2 linked regions of the Cricetulus griseus genome follow. The protein of the gene in region 2 binds, or shares a complex with, the protein of the main gene of each other region. Links are inferred from orthologs where the notes say so. Each region holds a gene or a part of one and is shown on either strand. Other genes may lie near its edges.

Region 1 (3,656 bases), on a different chromosome or scaffold from region 2:
GTCTAAAAAAAAGTAATTTTCACATAGAGAACACTATCTGTTACTAAATGTTTGCTACATAATAGTGATTTTTAGATATTACAAATCATATCTCCAAGATTCAGAGAATACTAAGACTTATAACTAAAAATCGAAGTGAGTGCAGGTATTTCTTATTGTATGTACAATACTCTGAAGTATCTATTCAAATCTTCTCAAAGTATCGATTAATGTGACACATATACTGTAACCACAAATATCTTTCCATATTCCAAATCTTTGTTATCTACATGTGATAAATAATGACTTGCATTTACTCTCATGATGCTAATGGTAAAACCAGAAACAACACTGGCAAACCTAGAACCACCCTGACTTGGACCAGTATGAGAATTAAGCACAAAAAACATTTACAAGCAGAGACAACAGAGAGGACAGAAAGTTATAATAACATTGAACAACATTCCTCATTGTACTGTAGAGCCTAACACACTGACACATTCCTTCTAGGCATTCATCAAGGTCTATTTCACCATTCTTCAACACATCCAAGATGCTATCACGACATTTTCCACATCAGGCAGTTCCATTTTTATCTTCTCAATGGCTTTTGCTCTACTTAACATTTTTCACTTAGTCTTCTAAAACTTTTTAAACTTCACCTTTATCTATTTTGTGTGTGTGTGTGCCTATACATGTTCATCACAGACACATGTGAAGGTTAAAGCACAACTTTAGTCAGTCAGTTCTCTCCTACCATATCAGTTCGAGAATCATACTTAGGTCAACAAGCATGGTGGAGGGCATCTATGCACTGAGCCCTTTCATCAGCCTTTATACTCTATACTCTTTTCTCTACCATTTCTCATGGCATTATCATTAGTATAAATAGTAGCACACACTTGGCAGTGAAACTACTTGTGTGAATAAGGAAAAACAAAACATGCTCAGACACTAACTAAAATGAAAGCCACTGCTATAAAAACTACTATCTAGCAAAAACTACCAATTTTACCATCCAACACACTGATGTATTAAGTACTGCTCCAAACCAAGTATCTTATTTTAAATAAACAAACAAAACTAAAAAAAAAAAAACAACAACAAAAAAACTAAATCAATGCTCTAATGTTTAGTTTGGGGGGAAAAAAGAACTTTAAAGAAATAAAAATGACAAAAAACTAAAGAAAAGAATCTTCATTTGAGAAAAGGATGGAAGGCAATTTTCAGTTTGCTCTAGATTTGTAGTATTAAAGAAACATTATAACATTACAGTGGAGATGAGCACTTTTAGCCTGTATAGAGTCTACAGAGACTAATGTCACTATAGTACTAGACATTAAAATACTGTCAGTATTATTTATAGTTAGCACAATGCATTTAAAAGACACACAGCTGTACCACTGACACTAACACCACTAAAACCATCAGTCCTGCTTGCTATTCATTAGGTCTTACACATTAAATAGTGCATATTAATCAAGGAATTCTTACAATTAACTAGCATTAATTTTCTTCTCGTTTCTGTTGCTATGTTTCCAACGAGACTCTGCTATTATACAAATACAGGCTACCAAACAGAAAGGCACTAAAATATTGTTACATAGTGCAGAATATACTGTATGTTTTATTTCCTTACCTTAATAGAAATAATACGCCCCTGTCCCCTATTGGGAACTTATAATCTGAAGTTCAGAAGTCACATAAGCTCCATGAGTTATCAATGTAGCCCAACACAAAAGTGTAAACTTTTTAAAAATTTTGTTATTTTTGTTTTCATTGCTAAAATCTCAACTGCATGGTTCTTGAGTATGACCTTTGCAAATAAAAACATGTGTCATAATGTCAAAAGGATGGACTCTACTTCATGAAGTTCCCTCAGCTACCAAGACTACAATAAATAATGTAGAACTATTTAAATGAAGGCAACAGACTTTAGACCCAAGATTTGAATTACATATCAGAGTCTGGTATATGAAAAGTTTAAGAATACTATTACATTTTCTGTATGAAGATCAAGAGGTTTCATGGGTTACATGGGAGCAGTCATTAAAGAACAGAGTTTGAAAAGAAAACATAACTAACTTTCCAAGAAACAATTTATTGCATATGGTAAGTAAGTATCTACTTAAGATGCAAAGTATGAGAGTAATAAAATAAAAAATCTCTTCACAGGAACAGTGACTATTTCAACAAAATCTTAACAAATCTACAGTGGGATGGGGTTGTAGCTGAATGGTACCTGCTTGATTGGGAGCAGCAAATGTGCCTCCCCACTTTTGAATTTCATATTGGGTACAAAAAAGTCAAAGTTTTAGGTGTAGTAACACACACCTTTAATCCTAGCATTTGGGAAGCAGAAGCAGATGGATCTCTGGGAGTTTGAGGCCAGCATGGTCTACGTAGAGACCTGGGCTATGTAGTAAGACCCTGTCTCAAAAGAGCCAAACAACAACAAAATGTAATAGTAAAATCAATATCCTAAGATTCATGTTTTAGGACCCAGGTTTAATCTGCAGCACCTTAAATAACAGCAAACAACAACAAAAATACAATTTTACAACTTTCTGGAAAAGCAGCAGTCACAGTTTAGAAATAACATCTCTATCACTGAATGGTATTTGAAATTAGAAGCTTTTATTATCTCAATCCCTTTTGCCTCATAATAATAAGCCTAAGCTTTTGAAACTCTAAATTTAATAAATTTCCGGGAAATTTATTCAGTTAGAATTTCACTACATTTAAACCCAATTCCTAAAATTAAACTAGAAACAAAAAGTTGGGGTTATATATTTATTTCCCACTTACGTCAAATTAAATTTAAAATTAAACTGCCAAGTTGAAGTTCCTGGAGGGTATTCTCCTTGCTCATTCATAAATGTCAGTCCTAGCTGAATTATCTTTAACAAGTCTACATTACATCGCAATAGTTGGTATTGATAGTCAGCATTGCTCCTGAATTCTCCAATGGGCCTTGCAACAACACCTGGAAACTCAGTGTCCTGAAAAATAATTTTAAGATTCATTATTTACTAAATGGGCATAAATAGGATCCATAAACTCTCAAGATAATTTCAGATATAATTCAGAGAATTCTATTACAATGATATTCTGTATGTTCATACTCAATTAGGTACTCTTCAAGTATGAAGAATATTATTTATTTTTTTTTCCAGACAGGGTTTCTTTGTAGCTTTGGAGCCCGTCCTGGCACTCCCTTTGTAGACCAGGCTGGCCTCGGACTCACTACTTTTTCTTATTAAAATTTATCAATAAATTATTACCCTGTACAGATAACTCATGATAAACTCAAGCAAACATTTGCTTCGTATCCAAGGAAAAGAAAACCCACAGAAATCATGTCAAGATTCCCACTCCCTCTTACAGGCTGTTATTATTTCTGTACTGCAATTCCTTATCATCCAAGAAATAAATGACAACTAGGAATTTTTTGCTGCCTATAAAGTAACCCTCTCTGCCCAAACAGAAAGTTTCAGCCCCAATTATGGATAAGTTATACCTCTAATACATGGAATGTCTATGTATAGATATTCCTATTTTAAGCAAGCACCCTCAGAGAAGCACTTTTTTAAAAACTTGTGATACTAAGAAAATTATGTTTTAGTTTAGCAGGAGAATTCAAATTAAGGCTAGCTAAAAATGAAAATGAAATAGTA
Region 2 (3,656 bases):
GTGGGTATTTGTGGTTAGGGTTGTTAGTTTCTGCTTTTGTTTTTGCAGCTGAGACTGGCCTCAAACTCTAATCGTACCGCCTTTCTCAAGGTCTGGGATTATAGCTGTATACCACCATACCCACGTTTCTCTGGTTTTCTTTGACATTGACATAAGTATTTCTTTCTTCTTTTTTATTTATTTATTTGTTTATTATATATACAATGTCCTGCCTGCAGGCCAGAAGAGGGTGCCAGATCTCATTACAGATGGTTGTGAGCCATCATATGTTTGCTGGGAATTGAACTCAAAACCTCTAGAAAAACAGCCACTGCTCTTAACCTCTGAGCCATCTCTCCAGCCCCTGACATACATATTTCTACACTGTTAAGTTTGACAGCTATTTTTAGTTTCTAGCTACAGATTTGAAGTAAGTATAATGTGTTTTAAAAATGAAGAAGAATACAATTCCATACTTTTTTAACATCATAAAAACAATTTTCAAAATAGTAATAAACACTCTGAACATAAGCGGTTCAACTAATTTAGTGATTTGCTGTATCCTAAGAGAAAAGATTTTGCTTGGTTACCTTAAAAATATTTTCTGTCAGTGATTCAATCCCAAATATGAAACCAGAGCTTTAAGCCTGGCATGGCGTGATGGTTCAGACCTGTAATTCCAGCACTCAGAAGGCTAAGACAAGAGGCTTGCTACAGAATGAGGCCCTGTTTCAAAAAATCAAAATTAAGTAATTATTTTATGTTCATTTCATTTAAATCAGAGTCATAGCTTTGAAGTTTTAAAGAGTGATGTTCATATCACAGGAAAGTAAATATATTTAGGTACATAGGCACTTTTTTTTTTTTTAATCATAGTAGACACCTGGCCATGATTGTTATAACCATTACATGGCATATAGTAGGAACTCAGTAAATTTATTTTTGTTGTTTGCGAGGGTGGGGGGGAGTTATTTTGTTGTTTTTTTCCTTCCTCTGTAGCTTGGGAGCCTGTCCTGGAACTCTATCCGTAGAGCATGCTGGCCTCGAGCTCAACAGAGATAGATCCACATGCCTCTGCAGCCGTGCCCCCTCCCCCAAGTGCTGGGATTAAAAGTGTGTGCCATCCACCTGTCTGTCGTGTGTGTGTGTGTGTGTGTGTGTGTGTGACTAATGTAGCTTCTCATGTCACTTTTTTCTCTCTTCTCCTTCTCCTCTCCCTATCCTCCTCTCCTCTCCCCTCCCCGCTTCTCTTATCTTTTGGAGACAGTGTCTCCAGGCCGGCCCCAAACTCATGATTCTCCTAATTTAGGAGTACCCTTGAGTTGTAGGAACTCAACAACATTGCAACAACACATTAGTTTTAGCATTTATGACTTGATCTTTTTTAAACCTAACATCGAGAACTTTTGAGTTCATCAGGTTTTAAGGTATTTGGTGCAGACTGCAGATTGTGTTGGTTTACTCACCCTAGCCTGGGTGGTTGTTACACATTGACACTTGAGCTGTCTGTATGATGTGTCAGTGAGGGCAAGCAGGTATGCTTCTAAGCAGTAGTCATCTCTGGCCTCTGACTGTATGCTAAGTAGCCCTCAACATTTCTTGCTTCTGATAATCTCCAAACATTGGCACATGTCTCCTAGGGAACAAAATTACACATTTCAGAAGGTTGGTCAAGGCTAAAAACCAATAAAGTTCGTTTCTAAAGATTACTTACTCTGGTGATTTCACGTATTGTTTTAGGCTTAGACATTTGATGTCTAGAAGGCAGCTCTGAGGTCTAAATATGGTTGTTTTTTCTTTCAGGTCGGCTTTTCTCGCAGCACACATCCCACTTTTTTTGTACCCCTTTTTGCACACAGTCAGCAAAACTCGTCCCTTTGAGTATCTTCGGCTCACTAGCCTTGGAGTTATTGGTAAGTTATTTTATTATTTTTGTTTTGATTTTCTTGAGATGGTCTCATGTAGTATAGGCTGGCCTCAAGCTCACTATGTACCTGAGGATACCCTTGAATTTTTTAGTTTCTGATGGTTTAACCTCCACCTCCAAAGTGCTGGGATTATAGGCATACATCGCCATACTTAATGCAGTGCTGGGGATTGAACTCAGGGTAAGACTGAAATTCTTCTGGTCAATAGTGGTCTGAGTTGTATTTTGTACAACTTCTTATAGCTTATTCATTTTTTGTCTTTGACATCTCATTTACTGATAAGTGCTTGCAAAGTTAGCAGGCACCATTCTCAATGTTGCTAGTAAAGCTGTAAGGATCAATAATCATTTAGCATCAAGTTATAGAGGGAGTAAGGAATAACTTGATCGATCAACTTTTGGGGGGGGGTATTTGAGACAGGATTTTCTCTCTGGCTTTGGGGGCTGTCCTGGAACTAGCTCTTGAAGACCAGGCAGGTCTTGAACTCACAGAGATCCTCCTGCTTCTGCCTCCCAAGTGCTGGGATCAAAGGTGTGCGCCACCACCACCCTATTGATCAACTTTATCTAAGTTGAATGAACTTAGTTTAGTAACTCAGAGCCTTGTATTAGGCTAGTGTTCTTAACACTGAGCACTTTCTCCACTTGCTTTATTTTTATTTTTTAAATTTTGACACAACATCTCTTTAATTTGCCGGGGCTGGCCTTGAACTCAGCATTTCCCTGCCTATGCCTTCCCAATACTGGGATTGCACTCATGACTCTGCTGCTGACTCTTTTTTGTTGTTGTTGTTCAAATGAATATGAAACTGATTGCCTGACACAGAAACTACAGTCTGCATATCATATTACTTAAATTCCATAGCTTGCTTTGATGGGACAGTTCATAGTAAATGTAATTAGAAATAATTTCTTTAAAATAATTTTGTTTGTTCATATTTTCTTTAGGGGCCTTGGTTAAAACAGATGAACAAGAAGTAATCAACTTTTTATTGACAACAGAGATAATCCCTTTGTGTTTGCGCATTATGGAATCTGGAAGTGAACTTTCTAAAACGGTATGTGCTTTTAAGTGAGATTCAAAATTGTTTTGGCTCTCGAGCTCTTGCTTTGTGGCTCTAGAATCATTTTCTGCCTCTCCTGGGAAGTTAGAGCAAAAAGTCAAGGCAAGCACTGATGCAGAGACCATGGAGGAGTGCTGCTTACTAGCTGGTTTCATGTAGTTTGCTCAACCTGCTCTCTTAAAGCTATGTAGCCCTTACTGGCCTGATACTGTATAGCACAGGCAGACCTCAAATTTGGAACAGTCCTGCCTCAGGTTCCTGAGGACTGGAATTACGGACATGCAGCACCATACTAGGCTTTGTATTTAGCTTTCTTGTATGATACAACACCTTGATCATAGTAGGCACACATTAAAATAAAGGTTCTTGGTCAAGGCTGTTAATGAATGATGTAATAAACTGGGAAGTATTTTTAAAATATAGGGATATGGCTGGAGAGGTGGTTCAGTAGTTAAGAGCACTGGTTTGATTCCCATCACCTGTATGGTGGTGGCTCACAACCACCTATAACTCCAGTCCCAGGGGATCCGTTGCCCTCTTCTGGCCTCCGTGAGCACTGATTGTACATGGTGTACAGATACACATGAAGGCAGAATAGACAAATCTTTCATTTAAACATGGAGCTAGAGAAATGGCTTAGTAGTTGAGCACTTGCTGCACAACCATGTTCAAATTTAGCACCCGTG

Evidence for each region.
Region 1: Cnot9 (region 2) and Cnot7 share a complex: the UniProt entries of both Homo sapiens proteins name them as parts of the CCR4-NOT complex. The link is inferred for Cricetulus griseus from reciprocal best matches to the Homo sapiens genes CNOT9 and CNOT7.

Annotation. Positions count from the first base shown.
Region 1 is NW_023276807.1:45,216,016-45,219,671, reverse strand, and holds part of Cnot7 (CCR4-NOT transcription complex subunit 7), read right to left. Parts: intron 2,982-3,656; coding exon 2,788-2,981; intron 1-2,787. UniProt on the Homo sapiens protein: Has 3'-5' poly(A) exoribonuclease activity for synthetic poly(A) RNA substrate. Its function seems to be partially redundant with that of CNOT8.
Region 2 is NC_048595.1:427,766,967-427,770,622, forward strand, and holds part of Cnot9 (CCR4-NOT transcription complex subunit 9), read left to right. Parts: intron 1-1,782; coding exon 1,783-1,892; intron 1,893-2,854; coding exon 2,855-2,964; intron 2,965-3,656. UniProt on the Homo sapiens protein: Component of the CCR4-NOT complex which is one of the major cellular mRNA deadenylases and is linked to various cellular processes including bulk mRNA degradation, miRNA-mediated repression, translational repression during translational initiation and general transcription regulation.